Linked DNA regions of Saccharomyces cerevisiae S288C. The protein of the gene in region 1 interacts with the protein of each later gene in a biochemical or structural test. Each region holds a gene or a part of one and is shown in the gene's direction. Other genes may lie near its edges.

Region 1 (4,359 bases):
TAGATCTATTAAAGTTTTCGTGTTTGTTTTAGTTTTTGTTGTTTTTTCTGTTTTTTTCCTTTTTCCTTGTGGCGTCGCCTAGGTCACTGTACACGTATATCGTGACCCGGCGCCAAATTCCTGATAGTACTATTTTTTTTGGCCCATGGGGGGAATAAAGAAAAAGAAGAGAAGCCAGAACAAATTCAGCGATTAAGTGCACCAGTTTTGAGGAGGATATCTTTACTGTTAGGCCCAGGTTGAAATAAATAAAACAAGAAAAGCACTAATATGAATAGCGAGTACGATTACCTGTTCAAACTGCTGTTGATCGGGAATTCCGGTGTCGGGAAGTCCTGTTTACTTTTGAGGTTTTCGGACGACACATATACCAACGACTACATCTCCACAATTGGAGTGGACTTCAAGATTAAGACTGTAGAACTGGACGGCAAGACTGTAAAGCTACAGATTTGGGACACTGCAGGTCAAGAACGTTTCCGTACTATCACTTCATCTTACTACCGTGGTTCGCATGGGATCATTATCGTGTATGATGTCACTGACCAAGAATCCTTCAACGGCGTGAAGATGTGGCTGCAAGAGATTGATCGGTATGCAACCTCAACAGTGTTGAAGCTATTGGTAGGTAACAAGTGTGATTTAAAGGACAAGCGTGTCGTGGAATATGACGTGGCAAAGGAATTTGCGGACGCGAATAAGATGCCGTTCTTAGAGACTAGTGCTTTGGACTCCACCAACGTCGAGGATGCGTTTTTAACCATGGCTAGACAAATCAAGGAAAGTATGTCCCAACAAAACCTGAACGAAACCACTCAGAAGAAGGAAGACAAAGGGAACGTCAACCTGAAGGGACAGAGTTTAACCAACACCGGTGGGGGCTGCTGTTGAACAAGCGCGCCTCTACCTTGCAGACCCATATAATATAATAACTAAATAAGTAAATAAGACACACGCGAGAACATATATACACAATTACAGTAACAATAACAAGAGGACAGATACTACCAAAATGTGTGGGGAAGCGGGTAAGCTGCCACAGCAATTAATGCACAACATTTAACCTACATTCTTCCTTATCGGATCCTCAAAACCCTTAAAAACATATGCCTCACCCTAACATATTTTCCAATTAACCCTCAATATTTCTCTGTCACCCGGCCTCTATTTTCCATTTTCTTCTTTACCCGCCACGCGTTTTTTTCTTTCAAATTTTTTTCTTCCTTCTTCTTTTTCTTCCACGTCCTCTTGCATAAATAAATAAACCGTTTTGAAACCAAACTCGCCTCTCTCTCTCCTTTTTGAAATATTTTTGGGTTTGTTTGATCCTTTCCTTCCCAATCTCTCTTGTTTAATATATATTCATTTATATCACGCTCTCTTTTTATCTTCCTTTTTTTCCTCTCTCTTGTATTCTTCCTTCCCCTTTCTACTCAAACCAAGAAGAAAAAGAAAAGGTCAATCTTTGTTAAAGAATAGGATCTTCTACTACATCAGCTTTTAGATTTTTCACGCTTACTGCTTTTTTCTTCCCAAGATCGAAAATTTACTGAATTAACAATGGATTCTGGTATGTTCTAGCGCTTGCACCATCCCATTTAACTGTAAGAAGAATTGCACGGTCCCAATTGCTCGAGAGATTTCTCTTTTACCTTTTTTTACTATTTTTCACTCTCCCATAACCTCCTATATTGACTGATCTGTAATAACCACGATATTATTGGAATAAATAGGGGCTTGAAATTTGGAAAAAAAAAAAAAACTGAAATATTTTCGTGATAAGTGATAGTGATATTCTTCTTTTATTTGCTACTGTTACTAAGTCTCATGTACTAACATCGATTGCTTCATTCTTTTTGTTGCTATATTATATGTTTAGAGGTTGCTGCTTTGGTTATTGATAACGGTTCTGGTATGTGTAAAGCCGGTTTTGCCGGTGACGACGCTCCTCGTGCTGTCTTCCCATCTATCGTCGGTAGACCAAGACACCAAGGTATCATGGTCGGTATGGGTCAAAAAGACTCCTACGTTGGTGATGAAGCTCAATCCAAGAGAGGTATCTTGACTTTACGTTACCCAATTGAACACGGTATTGTCACCAACTGGGACGATATGGAAAAGATCTGGCATCATACCTTCTACAACGAATTGAGAGTTGCCCCAGAAGAACACCCTGTTCTTTTGACTGAAGCTCCAATGAACCCTAAATCAAACAGAGAAAAGATGACTCAAATTATGTTTGAAACTTTCAACGTTCCAGCCTTCTACGTTTCCATCCAAGCCGTTTTGTCCTTGTACTCTTCCGGTAGAACTACTGGTATTGTTTTGGATTCCGGTGATGGTGTTACTCACGTCGTTCCAATTTACGCTGGTTTCTCTCTACCTCACGCCATTTTGAGAATCGATTTGGCCGGTAGAGATTTGACTGACTACTTGATGAAGATCTTGAGTGAACGTGGTTACTCTTTCTCCACCACTGCTGAAAGAGAAATTGTCCGTGACATCAAGGAAAAACTATGTTACGTCGCCTTGGACTTCGAACAAGAAATGCAAACCGCTGCTCAATCTTCTTCAATTGAAAAATCCTACGAACTTCCAGATGGTCAAGTCATCACTATTGGTAACGAAAGATTCAGAGCCCCAGAAGCTTTGTTCCATCCTTCTGTTTTGGGTTTGGAATCTGCCGGTATTGACCAAACTACTTACAACTCCATCATGAAGTGTGATGTCGATGTCCGTAAGGAATTATACGGTAACATCGTTATGTCCGGTGGTACCACCATGTTCCCAGGTATTGCCGAAAGAATGCAAAAGGAAATCACCGCTTTGGCTCCATCTTCCATGAAGGTCAAGATCATTGCTCCTCCAGAAAGAAAGTACTCCGTCTGGATTGGTGGTTCTATCTTGGCTTCTTTGACTACCTTCCAACAAATGTGGATCTCAAAACAAGAATACGACGAAAGTGGTCCATCTATCGTTCACCACAAGTGTTTCTAATCTCTGCTTTTGTGCGCGTATGTTTATGTATGTACCTCTCTCTCTATTTCTATTTTTAAACCACCCTCTCAATAAAATAAAAATAATAAAGTATTTTTAAGGAAAAGACGTGTTTAAGCACTGACTTTATCTACTTTTTGTACGTTTTCATTGATATAATGTGTTTTGTCTCTCCCTTTTCTACGAAAATTTCAAAAATTGACCAAAAAAAGGAATATATATACGAAAAACTATTATATTTATATATCATAGTGTTGATAAAAAATGTTTATCCATTGGACCGTGTATCATATGATCATCTCTTCATCGCTTTTCAGTTTTATAGGTTTATGCAATTGCCCTTCTTGGGAGGATCTTGTAGAACCGCCATTAGAATTTGAGTCCGGCGTTTTGATACCCTTTTCCCCATGTAAATTGGTGCCCTCTTTACTCTCAAATTCGAAGAATTTATCAATATCTTCTATGCTCATACCCTTTGTTTCTGGGAACCAAATCAAAACTGAAAGTGATATCAAGAATGTCAAAGATCCAAATATTATAAATGTTGTGCCTTTTAATCTTTCAATCATCACAGGGCATAGAAACGTTAAAATAAAATTGCCCAACCATCCAAACGTTACGCAAATGGCAAATCCCTTAACTTTCACTCGTGAGGGCAACATTTCATTCGTGTAAACCCAAGGTATACTGGAAAGGCTCATGGCAAATATTCCAACAATTAGAAAGCATAAAGTTAGAATCCATCCTCCCACAAACGGGTTTTCTCCAATTGACCAAACTAAACTCCTATTGCCGTCGATGGGCTTGGTGTCTTGACCATACTTCACAAATAATGCGCCGATTGTAATGAGCAACCCACTAATGGGAAAGCCACCCAACAAGGTAATTAGCTTTCTGCTAGTGTAATCAATGAATGTAATCGGTAACAAGCTCAAAACCATGTTGATGAAATATGGAATGGAACTGGTGAATAGTTTTACATTGCCTTCAAGCCCTACAATCTCGCAAATGTATGTAATATAACCAAGGATAATGTTTATACCGCTAAATTGAACCAATAACTGTAAAGTCATTCCAAGAATCAAAGGCTTAAACGAACCCCGAGGTAATTTTTTGGAGAAGTCCAAATCATTAACTCCAATCCAAAAATCTCCTGCTAATTCGATCTTACTCATCTCAGGGACTGCATCCCTTGGCTGGCTTTCATTAAACTTTTTGGCTAAATTGTGCTGAATTTCCTGAGCTTCACTCATCTTCCCATGTAGTACTAGCCAGTGATAAGATTCAGGTAGAGCGTAGCTAGCCATCCAGAACAGTAATCCAGGAATGATTCCTATGCACCACGCTATACGGAACGCAAAA
Region 2 (3,831 bases), on another chromosome or scaffold:
ATTACATTTATTACTCCACAGTTCTTATCTGTTGCTATAGTTGTTTCAATATTGTATTATTTTGTTGGGTATTTCTACATGGCAGGTTCTCGTGAATTGAAAAGATTTGAATCTATTTCTAGATCACCGATCTATCAACATTTTTCCGAGACTCTTGTCGGTGTTACCACCATTCGTGCGTTTGGTGATGAAGGGAGGTTTATGCAAGAGAATTTACACAAAATTGATGAAAATAATAAACCATTCTTCTACTTGTGGGTTGCTAATCGTTGGTTGGCCTTTAGGATAGATATGATTGGATCCTTGGTCATTTTTGGAGCTGGTTTGTTCATTCTATTCAATATTAATAATCTGGATTCGGGTATGGCTGGTATATCTTTGACGTATGCTATTTCCTTCACTGAAGGGGCATTGTGGTTGGTAAGATTGTACTCTGAAGTGGAGATGAATATGAATTCTGTTGAAAGAGTCAAAGAATATATGGAAATTGAGCAAGAGCCATACAACGAACACAAAGAAATACCGCCACCACAATGGCCACAAGACGGTAAAATCGAGGTTAATGATTTATCATTACGGTATGCTCCAAATCTACCTAGAGTAATTAAAAATGTTTCATTTTCTGTCGACGCTCAGTCTAAGATCGGTATTGTTGGTAGAACCGGTGCCGGTAAATCAACTATTATTACCGCCTTGTTCAGATTTTTGGAACCTGAGACAGGCCATATCAAAATTGATAATATCGATATTTCCGGTGTTGATTTACAAAGACTGCGTCGTTCTATAACTATTATTCCACAAGATCCAACACTATTCTCAGGGACGATTAAAACAAACCTAGACCCATATGATGAATTTAGTGACAGACAGATCTTTGAAGCTTTGAAACGTGTAAATCTAATTAGTGAAGAACAATTACAACAAGGCGCCACAAGAGAAACAAGCAATGAGGCTTCGTCGACTAACTCCGAAAATGTTAATAAATTCTTGGATTTAAGTAGTGAAATTAGCGAAGGTGGATCCAATTTGTCTCAAGGACAGCGCCAATTGATGTGCCTTGCTAGATCTTTACTGAGGAGTCCAAAGATCATATTGCTGGACGAAGCTACAGCGTCCATCGACTACAGTTCCGATGCGAAGATCCAAGAAACCATAAGAAAAGAGTTCCAAGGTAGTACAATTTTGACAATTGCACATAGGTTGAGATCTGTTATCGATTATGATAAAATTTTGGTGATGGATGCAGGTGAGGTAAAAGAGTATGATCACCCATATTCTTTGTTACTTAACAAACAAAGTGCCTTTTATAGCATGTGTGAGCATAGTGGAGAATTGGATATCCTAATTGAATTGGCTAAAAAAGCCTTTGTGGAAAAATTGAACTCTAAAAAGGACTAGCTGTTTCGATGCTAAAGTATATATATATATATATATATATATATATATATATATATGTATATACGCACACATGTTCACGTACTATAAATTACCTTTTGTAAATTCAACAGCCTCTTTTTCTGGAACTGGAAGAATCCGTTAACTTCAATATTCCAGTCGATGAAACGGTTTAGAATTGCAATTGACCTCAAAATCATTATGTTGCAGTTATCCACCAACTCGGGTAACTTCTTCAACTGTTTCGTTTCAATATTTGCGTCTTTGAAGGAAATCTGATCCAATGAACTTTTACTGATTTGGCAAAACTCCATATATTGGCTGTTTAGTTCGTCAAATGCACTATATAATGTATAAATATCGTCAAAGCAACTAGCAAAAATACAAATATCATCAGGAGCTCCCACGTTCTCGATGTCTTCAGCCATGAAAGTATTAAAGAGTTGCAGGAGATCTTGAGAATACTTTAGACCCTGGAAATATAGACGATGTAACTGATTGTATAGTTCATCTAATTGCACTGAAACATCGGAATTCGCGCTGTATCCGGCGCCTATAAGCCGCTCCAATCGGTCACACCTGTATTCTAAAGCTTCAACAAGCTTAAGACCAGGCATCAAACTTCCTTTGGTAGAGGCTAATGGCCTTGGAAGCTCGAGAGAACATTCTATAAGTTCATCAATCACTTATACTATATGCAGTACCTCTAAATTACCTAATATCCGGGTAATAAGAACAATATTCGGGTGACGCCGCCCCTGTTTGATGACAAAATTGGAAGAAAAAGAGGAAACAAGAAAAGACTGGTTAGCAACTACGTAAACTTCAGATTTCAAAACATACATAAACAAAAAACTAACAAAAGAAGATGTCTAGATCTGGGTATGCTAAATTTCATTTGTACTCCTGTGTAAACTATCAATTACTAACTAATTGACATGATGCTGTTTTATCTCGCTCTCTTATGTCCTTTCTTTCCTCCCTTTTTAACATGGAACTTTAAAAGGAATGTGGGGGAAAAAATTCATAAGAAGCCAGGAAAATGTGAAGTTTCTGTGTAGTGTTGCTGTTGCTGATGAATCCCTTACCGCTTTCAATGACTTGAAATTGGGTAAAAAATACAAATTTATTTTATTCGGATTGAACGATGCTAAAACCGAAATCGTTGTCAAGGAAACCTCTACTGACCCATCTTACGATGCCTTCTTAGAGAAATTGCCAGAAAACGACTGTCTTTACGCCATTTACGATTTTGAATACGAAATTAATGGTAATGAAGGTAAGAGATCCAAGATTGTTTTCTTCACTTGGTCTCCAGACACTGCTCCAGTCAGATCTAAGATGGTCTATGCATCCTCCAAGGATGCCTTAAGAAGAGCCTTAAACGGTGTCTCTACCGATGTTCAAGGTACTGATTTTTCCGAAGTTTCTTACGATTCTGTTTTGGAAAGAGTCAGCAGAGGCGCTGGTTCTCATTAAGGTAAATGATTTCACAAATGACAACAATCTTCAAGAAAAATGAAAATGTATATCTATATATAAAATCGTCATATATATACAGAATACATGTATAGAATTATTATAATTATAATTTTCTCTTCGCAACTCTATCTAAAACACAATACTTAGATTTAAGGTCCCGTACACCCCGGCTAGTGGGCATTGTTTTTGCACCCATATTTGTAATTCTAAATTCAGAACGGAAATACTGGCCATGTAGATCAAGAAAAGATACAAGGTCATCGAACCAGGCAGCAATGATTTTTCTATAATCTTCTAAAGTGAAGCATGACGACCATAGCTCGTTGAATATGCATAGAACGCTTCTGTTTTTAACGTGGCTGATATCTTTAACAAAGGCTTTTAATATAAAATTACCACACACTGAAAAAAAAGACCATTTGGAATCCAACGCTGTGCTGGCATGCGCATCCTATATAAATACTCTGAAGTGGTCATTTGATAGCTCCGTCGTACCGGGTTTCTATTCTACCATATGCTCTTATTCACCAGCGTTTGATACTTGGTCACTTTGTATCTTCAATTCGCTTACAGACCAGATTATTCCCATGGACAACACAAGTTTCGAAGAAAGCTTGGGTAACGTACGAAAAACGTGCTCGTTTGTCGATAAAAAGTTTAGCAATATTTCACTGGAGCAATACTACTCATCTTTAAATAATGCTTCTTCTCACGCTTTGGAAGACTATGGTTCTATTGAAAGTTTATCGACATCCATTCGAGTCGATCGTGAGACAAGATCTAGATGGATACGAGCTTTTCATGCGCATGCCTATAATTTAGATATCAGCAGTGTTTATGGTGCATATTTAACTTACTACTTCGTCATAGTGGGTATTATCGCCGTCTTCTTCCATATGAGTCACTATAACGGCCTGAATCGAGCGCTATTTGCAAGCCGGTTCGTCAATTATA
Region 3 (4,763 bases), on another chromosome or scaffold:
CCCAATACGTGAAATCTTACTCAAAAGCGTAGGAATTCTCCCCAAATACGGTCCTATGATAGATAAATAGATATGCGAGTTTTCAAATAGATCATTTACAGAAGCAAAAGGAGTCAAATTGGAATTCCACTCGCTGTAATAGAAGACGTAGCTTGAATTCAATTCAAGGGATTCAAATGGCTCGTGAGTTTTATATTTATGGATCAACCTTGGCTTATGGGCTAGAATACCATTATCTATACGGGTTATCATCAAAGCAGTTGCCATATCTTTTGATTCACCAGATGAGGTCATTGATGTGTACAATGGATTTAAAAGATATTCAAATACTCTTCCCAAATATCTAGATAAGGATTCACTAACATATAACACTTTCGGATATTGCTTTAACACATGTATCACGGGAATAACGCAACCATGTATGAGTAAGCGTTCCAAGAGTTTTATTTTACCAAATAATAAAATATCTTGCTGAGTTTTCTGCTTGCCTTTTGATTCTATATCAGCGTTTGTTTCCTCAGAGATTTTATCCTTCATATTAACATCATCATTTACAACAAGGGCGTTGTCTTCGTCAGTTTCATTTTCAGTGGACAAAGCAGCTGCCATAGCCAAGGGATTTTCTACGCCTTTAGTGGACTCCTCTTCCAGTTCAGTTTCTAAGTTTTGAATATATTCTTGTAGAAATTCCATCTCTGGTTTAACGTTATCCCAAATAGAATAAAAATTGACAAACCCATTTTTCAGTAAAATGCAACACATATCCATATACCGTTCATAGTTTTCCTTATCGACTTCTTCGTTATATTGCGATAAATTGAATGAAATAATGTTTGCTGCAATCATATTACCGCCTTCATTAAGAGAAGAATAATTGGAATTGTTAGCTACATGGCTAGATGGCCAAGAATCCGACTTTCGTAAAAGAGCAATAAAGAACTTGTACCCTTCAGTGATAAACTGACTAGAAACGTTCAAAATAACATCTAAAGTACGAATAGAATCCAAGGAATATTTCCCCATAATATGATAGATTTCTTTCAAATATGCGGACACTTTGGAAAAATTGTCGGGATCATAATACGCCAATATTAATAAGGCTACCAATTGACCATAACCCACTGAATTTTCTACCAAAAGGTTATATTTCTTCAGTTCGTATTTTGACTTTTTTAACAAATGCCTTAATAAGGTGGTTTGTTCCTTGTTGAGCAGCTTAGAGGATATCCAACTAAATTTGAACAATTCTTCATGCAACGACGGTATTAGTTTACATAATGATATGGTTGTTAGATCATTTATATTTGGAACAGTGCTTGAGACGGCGATAAACATTTTACCAACTATGGAAGCCTGGGACACTTGCCTTTCATGATTCACTAATTCATTAGTAAATGATGCAACATCAGAAAGCTTGAGGGGAGAATTTTCATCGTTTTTATTTATGAAATCAAACAGTTCAATAAACAAAGTCCTCAACCAGTCTTCCTTTTCATCATTTGACTCCAGTGCAGTGAAATCGGAGCAGAGAGTTTTTGATCGTTCAGGCCAGTTTCGTATCACCTCTTCCGTTAAAATGCTTGCCTGACTAGGGGAAGCTGGTGGTATCACTTTTTGAGAAAGAGCGTTCAATTTGGAAAGTAGCGTCTGTTCTGCCATAAAGTCCTGAAAATGTATACTGGTGCGAATATGTATCAACTGAAACCGTTTCACCCTATTATGCTTTAGATAAAGACGATAAAATCACAGCCCTATAATTTATGCAACAGTGTTTGCTTCTAAATCAACGTGTTCCCTGGGCATAAACTCTCATACGTTATGTCGCTATTGAAGAAATAGCGGAAAATCTTACGCCGAAGTTAGCGTTGTCACCCGGGAAGAAGAGAAGAACATAAGCCTTCTCATTCAGAACATGTAAATAGTGGCTAAAATGGTTATATTACACAATTCGAAACAGTGAAATTAAGAAAAGAAATGGTATGTTACGTTCTATTGCGCTTTAGTTTGAATTGAAATCATCTTTACCATGGTACTAACTACGCTTGCGATGAATCGTGCAAGTCCGTGCGGCTTATACGTAATGCTAATACTCAAAACAGGCGGAAAAGCAGAGGCAGTTGAAGTTGCAGAAGATATACAAACAAAAGTACATCGGACTGGGAGATGAGAGCACTACACGAGAACAGTGGCAGAGAAATGTGAGAAACGATACACTAAATACATTACAAGGCCACTCCGCATCTTTGGAGTACGTTTCATTGAGCCGAGGAGACCTTAGTATACGTGACACTCGTATTCACCTCCTGAAATCCATGTCCCCTGGCTATAAAGCCTACTTACGAGAAGAGAGGTAGGACGTTGAAGCCACATCCATAAATAATTTTTACATAAAATTACGCCTCGTATGTCGTTCTCAAGATTTATGGTAGAGATCACACTCAGTCAGTAACCTTTTAGGCATTGATTCTAGTAACTGTCGAACATTATTAACCTTGATGTTTATATAAAGATATAAAATGTTGGGACAGTATACAATTCATATCGTTTAAAATGATCTATACATGTCGCGTGAAGTCATAAACAGGGATTTAGAAGTGAAATCTTTTGGTAGTATAGGGGAAAACTCAGCTTGAAACTTTTCGTAATTGAGTAGGCCAAGTTGCAACCGTGTGAAATCGAATCATGCCTGACTCTAAGTACACAATGCAAGGTTATAACCTTGTTAAGCTATTAAAAAGGCTAGAAGAAGCCACTGCAAGATTAGAGGATGTCACCATCTATCAAGAAGGTTATATTCAGAATAAATTGGAGGCATCTAAAAATAACAAGCCTTCCGACTCCGGGGCCGATGCGAATACTACGAATGAACCTTCTGCAGAAAATGCTCCTGAAGTAGAACAAGATCCGAAATGCATAACTGCGTTCCAATCTTACATCGGTGAGAATATTGATCCGCTGGTAGAATTATCAGGAAAGATCGACACGGTGGTCTTAGATGCTTTGCAGTTGCTAAAGGGAGGCTTTCAATCGCAATTGACTTTTTTAAGAGCTGCTGTGAGATCAAGAAAACCGGATTATTCTTCTCAAACTTTCGCTGATTCTTTAAGACCTATCAACGAAAATATTATAAAGCTGGGTCAATTGAAGGAATCAAACCGTCAAAGCAAATACTTCGCATATTTGAGCGCTTTATCTGAGGGTGCTCCTTTGTTCTCCTGGGTTGCAGTGGACACTCCCGTGTCTATGGTCACAGATTTCAAGGACGCAGCACAGTTTTGGACTAATAGAATTTTGAAAGAATACAGAGAGTCTGATCCTAATGCTGTTGAATGGGTTAAGAAATTTTTGGCCTCTTTCGATAATTTGAAAGCCTACATTAAAGAGTATCATACTACTGGGGTTTCCTGGAAAAAAGACGGTATGGATTTTGCTGACGCGATGGCACAATCAACGAAGAATACAGGTGCTACTTCATCTCCTTCGCCAGCAAGTGCTACAGCGGCTCCAGCACCACCACCTCCTCCACCAGCCCCACCAGCTTCCGTCTTTGAAATCTCTAATGATACACCAGCAACGAGTAGTGATGCTAACAAAGGCGGTATTGGCGCGGTCTTCGCCGAACTAAATCAGGGTGAAAATATCACTAAGGGTTTGAAAAAAGTAGACAAATCCCAACAAACTCACAAAAATCCTGAATTACGTCAATCCTCTACAGTTTCTTCCACAGGAAGTAAATCCGGTCCACCACCAAGGCCAAAAAAGCCATCAACATTGAAAACTAAGAGGCCTCCTAGAAAGGAATTGGTAGGAAACAAATGGTTTATTGAGAATTACGAAAATGAAACTGAATCTCTGGTTATTGATGCAAATAAAGATGAGTCTATCTTCATAGGTAAATGTTCTCAAGTTCTTGTTCAAATAAAAGGAAAAGTTAACGCTATCTCGTTGAGTGAAACTGAGTCATGCAGTGTTGTTCTTGATTCTAGCATTTCCGGTATGGATGTCATCAAATCCAACAAGTTTGGCATTCAAGTTAACCATTCCCTACCTCAAATCTCCATTGATAAATCTGACGGCGGTAACATCTATTTATCCAAGGAATCCTTGAATACTGAAATCTACACCTCGTGCTCAACTGCTATTAACGTCAACTTACCAATCGGCGAGGACGATGATTACGTAGAATTCCCAATCCCTGAACAGATGAAGCATAGCTTCGCTGATGGTAAGTTCAAATCTGCTGTTTTCGAACATGCTGGTTAATATTGCGAGGAGCATTAATTGTATTTAGTTAAAAGAAATAAATCACATTTGAATCAATCAGAAAGAAAAGTGAATGAATAAACAATTATATACTTTTTGTAAAACCTTTTTTTCATGTGTAACCTTTTCTTAAAGAAGTAACAGGAAAACGAGGAGCGACTAAGTGACTACTTGATCGTTCGAGTAGAACTTAAAAACAAAAAAAATTAAATATTTACAGTGTAAAGAGAGGCTGAAGATCAGTCAAAAGACGCGTGCAACAATACACGACGATCATTTACCATTTCTCAAGTAATACATATATGCACGTTCATGAACAGGAACATCAAATGGTGAAATTACTTCGGATTGGCCTGGTCGAGCGACGGGATCCCTTAGGTATACAGCGTGGCATGTCTTGAAAGATATTTCCAAATGATGAGGTAAAATGGCGAAAGGCGATAAAAATGGTCTTGGCTTCCATGGTGTGAAAAAGGGTTTTTTAGGATCTTGCCTACCAT
Region 4 (4,903 bases), on another chromosome or scaffold:
AGAGCTAGACGATTGGTTTAATAATTCACAGGGGGAGTTTGAGGACGACGACGAAAATACTATCAGTAAGAGAGTAGCTACAAATCAAGAGTACCAACATCCACTGAGTGCTAATTACATTTCGATGGATAGTCCTGATGTAATAAATAGCAGCCCGGGTCACTTCGGGATGAATTCAGGCCAGTTGTTAGGTAATACGACGTTATATTATGGTAGTTTAAATGGGGATGATGATGATATGACCAACGACTCCGCTTTACTAAGATTCTGCAAGAAGCTAGTCAAAAATTGGAGGGCTTTGGCAAGAAATGATTCTTTTGTACTTGGAGTAATGGTTTCTTGGAGTCTTCTTGTTTTTGTAACGGGAATACTTTCAACAGTTTATATATAGCATATAAGTAACGACCGTGCACATATTAGGGTGTTCATATCTTGAAAAATCTTTATGTTATCCATTTTACTTTAGGGGAGGTGGAGCTTAATAATAAAATTTACATAAGAACAACAATCTGTAAGTAATTATAAAAATATATTAAAGGGACATTTTAACCCTACTTTAAAAGTTTAACTACATCAGTGGTTCATCAATCAAAGGTTATGCAAGGTAGAAATTTGTCCAAAAGAAAATAGATCATGCATCATTCAATATGGAGCTCACACTGTATGCTACAATTTGGCCTCCATTCATAACTGCCAAGATAAAATTTGTTGGCAATATGGAGCTCACACTGTATGCTACAATTTGGCCTCCATTCATAACTGCCAAGATAAAATTTGTTGGCAATATTGAAAATTCTTAAATTAGCGCTGCGCGGAAACCAGCGTCACTAATTTTTTTTTTTATTGCTGCACTAAAAAAAAACCAGCTCAAGTAGATAATCTTACAAGGGACAAGTAGTCAAGCCTTGCTTATTATAATTCTGTTTAACGGTGCAGTGAGTTTGGACATTCATGCAACGTGGTAAATATGTGTCTCTTTGCTTCTGTATTTAAGCATTTGGGCAGCTTGCGGTCAGTAGAAGAGTGCATCGACATTCATAGATCTCTAATAACATATATTTAAGTGGATATACGCAAAGAAAGGACAAGAAAACTTGTTTCGGTAACAGCATTATTAATTCTGAAGAAATACGCACAAAGAGATGATTTCTGACTACGATGCTCTTTTGCAATTCAACAAAAAACCTGTTTCGCAAGAAATGATTCAGTTCTTAGCCACTTCTACTGCTTCCATAATTAAAATCAGGGAAAATAATAATCCAATCCAAGGATGTCGCCCACCAGACTTATCTATCTTCATTAAAAACGTGGTAATTCAGTCAAATGTTCAAACACCAACTTTAATGGCCACATCAGTTTATTTAAACAAACTGAAAAGCGTAATACCAAAAAATGTGTACGGTATTAACACCACAAGACATCGGATATTTCTCGGATGCTTGATATTAGCTGCCAAAACTCTGAACGATTCTTCTCCCTGGAACAAACACTGGACCACGTACACAGAAGGTTTACTCAGAATACGTGAGGTGAATACCATCGAACGAGAACTATTAGAATATTTAAATTGGGATGTGAGGATAACTACACCGGATTTGATTGATTCTCTTTCTTACTTCCTCGGGCCTATCAAGGAACAACTATTTTTACAAAGGAGACAAGAAATGCTGTTGTTCAATGCACCAAGTCCCGGCCAACTGAAAGAATATATAAATCATAGAAGACCGGTTTCGCATTCTAGAACTTCTTCTGCTATATCGGTTCCTTCACTGACATCCATGGCAACAGTTTCGACAACAGACTCAAGGTCTTCTCTACTGGCAAAATACCAACCGTCCCTACCGTTGGTGGAATCTGACAACTTCAACAAAAAAAATCATGTGCCGTTAAGGAATAATAACGATATCTGTAATAATTTCAGGGCAGAGGAAAACATACACTCAGTAAACCATATTGATGTAACAATGGGAAGTTCACCAGTAATGTCGCATAAGCCCACAATTCACCAACGGTTAAATTTTACAAGGAGGGGCTGGTCATCGTTTTTCAAGCAATAATTCTAAGTTACTCGCCTTTTACAAGCTCTATAAATATTCTTTTCCGTTCTTTAGTTGTCTTAACTTTGTACAATATGAATAACCATCGTTTCTAGGCTACTAAAAAAACACCATACTACATAAACAAATATCTAATAATGAATACTCTTGGCATTCGTCTTGTTTCTCGAGGAATATCGGCCGAGTTTTTTTCATTTTGACAGGTTATATAATTCAAAATCTATCTGACTCTGAAAAAGTGGTAATAAATGCATTGACAACTTCTTCTCTTTATTTTACAGACATTAATCCAGCACTACAAGTGGCATATAACAAGATGCTAAGAAACATTTTGGTGAGAAGTACTGGCAGCAATTTCAAATTTGCTGGCAGATATATGAAATCATCAGCTCTTTTAGGATACTATAGAAGAGTTAACTATTATTCGACCAAGATACAAACCAGACTGACTAGCGAAAACTATCCAGACGTGCATCGAGACCCTAGATTCAAAAAATTAACGTCCGATGATCTAAATTATTTTAAATCTATTTTATCGGAACAAGAAATATTAAGAGCCAGCGAATCAGAGGATCTTTCATTTTATAATGAAGATTGGATGAGAAAGTACAAAGGACAGTCCAAGTTAGTATTGAGACCTAAGTCAGTGGAAAAAGTTTCTTTAATCTTAAATTATTGTAATGATGAAAAAATTGCCGTTGTCCCACAAGGCGGTAACACGGGGTTGGTAGGTGGTTCTGTGCCCATTTTTGATGAATTAATTCTATCTTTAGCAAATTTAAACAAAATAAGAGATTTTGACCCTGTATCAGGTATCTTGAAGTGTGATGCTGGTGTAATCTTGGAAAATGCTAACAATTACGTAATGGAACAAAATTATATGTTTCCGTTGGATCTGGGAGCTAAAGGTTCCTGCCATGTTGGTGGCGTGGTTGCAACCAACGCTGGAGGACTAAGGTTATTGCGTTATGGCTCACTACATGGAAGCGTTTTAGGCTTAGAGGTGGTAATGCCCAATGGTCAAATTGTTAATAGCATGCATTCCATGAGAAAAGACAACACCGGTTATGATCTGAAACAGCTGTTCATTGGCTCAGAAGGTACTATCGGTATCATCACTGGTGTTTCAATCTTGACTGTTCCTAAGCCAAAAGCGTTTAATGTATCTTACTTGTCTGTTGAAAGTTTTGAAGACGTTCAAAAAGTCTTCGTCAGAGCCAGGCAAGAATTATCTGAGATTTTATCCGCTTTTGAATTTATGGATGCTAAATCTCAAGTATTGGCCAAGAGCCAATTGAAGGATGCTGCCTTCCCTTTGGAGGATGAGCATCCATTTTATATTCTTATCGAAACGTCAGGGTCAAACAAAGATCACGATGATTCCAAACTTGAAACATTTTTAGAAAACGTCATGGAAGAGGGCATAGTAACGGATGGTGTAGTGGCACAAGATGAAACCGAACTCCAAAACTTGTGGAAGTGGAGAGAAATGATTCCAGAGGCAAGTCAAGCTAATGGTGGTGTTTACAAATACGATGTTTCTTTACCACTAAAGGACCTATATTCTTTGGTTGAAGCCACTAATGCAAGACTTTCTGAAGCTGAATTAGTGGGTGATTCGCCCAAACCAGTGGTGGGCGCCATTGGATACGGTCACGTGGGTGATGGTAATCTACACTTAAATGTTGCAGTTAGAGAGTACAACAAGAACATTGAAAAGACTTTGGAACCATTTGTCTACGAGTTTGTTTCCTCAAAACATGGTTCCGTTAGTGCCGAACATGGGCTAGGTTTCCAAAAGAAAAATTACATTGGCTATTCTAAGAGCCCGGAAGAGGTCAAGATGATGAAGGATTTGAAGGTTCATTATGATCCTAATGGAATTTTAAACCCTTACAAATACATTTGAAAATAAAATGCCAAGTTTTATAGTTATCTACATATGTATATATTTATCAATATTATATTCTACAATTGTGTATATTATATGGTAAGGGTGATATTTAAGGAAGAAATCCACCCTTCTTTAAGGTTTCCACTGCACATGTTGAAATGTGTCTGAATCTTGATGAGCCCAAAGGCGTGCCACCATACCATCTGGTCACTATTACCAAGACGTTGAATATGTTTGCTCTTTCAAGTAAGGTCAATAAACGCTGTCCAGCACCAGCTTCGCCACAGTCAGCACATCCTTGCTCAATGTTCTTTGGCTGCACCGTTATGTTCCTTGACTTGTTAACATGACTATTATTACTCTTATTTGCTTTATTGCCCTTCTTTTTCTGCTCTTGTTGTAAGTGCAAATTATTTGATACCTCGGCCGTTCTCCAGGCATACATGTGCATGTGGGATGCCTTGGAGACGCTTTTGTTGTTTTGCGTTAGTTCTTGGAGTATGGAGGGTATATCCTTTTGATTTTGTAATGGGCAACATCTTGCTTGAAATTTCGATTTTCTATCAACTAAAACTTCTGATTCATTCCATATTTTCACTAGCTTACCAACATTCTTACTCATTTCTCCAAAAAATAGTAATACCAAACATCAATACCTATCTAAGAATCTGTATAATGTCTTTTCTAAAGGTTTTTTACAGCTGATGATTGATGCATGACTTATTTCCACAGTGCCGTATTTTCTCAGTTGCCGTTTTGGGTCTGCTTTTCACAATGCGAAGCTTTGTTGAAAAGAGCTCTAAGGTCAAAAACAATAGTAAGCTGATCGGTATTAAGTACTTGCCTTCCTGAAAATTGCTAACAAACATCCAAATATACCTTCCCCATAGTTGAATGGCATCTAATAGAACAAAACCAGGTTAAGATAGGTTTTACTTTGAGTTGTTAAATA

The links.
Region 2: the proteins of ACT1 (region 1) and COF1 form a complex in vitro, tested with the Saccharomyces cerevisiae proteins (12 studies listed by BioGRID, with this or other methods).
Region 3: the proteins of ACT1 (region 1) and SRV2 form a complex in vitro, tested with the Saccharomyces cerevisiae proteins (5 studies listed by BioGRID).
Region 4: the proteins of ACT1 (region 1) and DLD2 form a complex in vitro, tested with the Saccharomyces cerevisiae proteins (3 studies listed by BioGRID).

What each region holds. Positions count from the first base shown.
Region 1 is NC_001138.5:51,898-56,256, reverse strand, and holds ACT1 (actin), read left to right. Parts: upstream 1-1,560; coding exon 1,561-1,570; intron 1,571-1,879; coding exon 1,880-2,997; downstream 2,998-4,359. Other genes in the region: Rab family GTPase YPT1, read left to right, coding at 271-891; YFL040W (uncharacterized protein), read right to left, coding at 3,285-4,359. UniProt on the Saccharomyces cerevisiae protein: Actins are highly conserved proteins that are involved in various types of cell motility and are ubiquitously expressed in all eukaryotic cells.
Region 2 is NC_001144.5:38,847-42,677, reverse strand, and holds COF1 (cofilin), read left to right. Parts: upstream 1-2,263; coding exon 2,264-2,277; intron 2,278-2,456; coding exon 2,457-2,874; downstream 2,875-3,831. Other genes in the region: bile acid-transporting ATPase YBT1, read left to right, coding at 1-1,398; LDB18 (Ldb18p), read right to left, coding at 1,473-2,012; FRE6 (putative ferric-chelate reductase), read left to right, coding at 3,207-3,831. UniProt on the Saccharomyces cerevisiae protein: Controls reversibly actin polymerization and depolymerization in a pH-sensitive manner. It has the ability to bind G- and F-actin in a 1:1 ratio of cofilin to actin. Binding to F-actin is regulated by tropomyosin.
Region 3 is NC_001146.8:364,059-368,821, forward strand, and holds SRV2 (adenylate cyclase-binding protein), read left to right. Parts: upstream 1-2,682; coding exon 2,683-4,263; downstream 4,264-4,763. Other genes in the region: THO2 (Tho2p), read right to left, coding at 1-1,659; U2 snRNP complex subunit YSF3, read left to right, coding at 1,975-1,977, 2,100-2,354; mitochondrial 37S ribosomal protein uS4m NAM9, read right to left, coding at 4,537-4,763. UniProt on the Saccharomyces cerevisiae protein: The N-terminal domain binds to adenylyl cyclase, thereby enabling adenylyl cyclase to be activated by upstream regulatory signals, such as Ras. The C-terminal domain is required for normal cellular morphology and growth control.
Region 4 is NC_001136.10:137,149-142,051, forward strand, and holds DLD2 (D-lactate dehydrogenase), read left to right. Parts: upstream 1-2,373; coding exon 2,374-3,966; downstream 3,967-4,903. Other genes in the region: AIT1 (Ait1p), read left to right, coding at 1-391; PCL9 (Pcl9p), read left to right, coding at 1,143-2,057; YDL177C (uncharacterized protein), read right to left, coding at 4,061-4,573.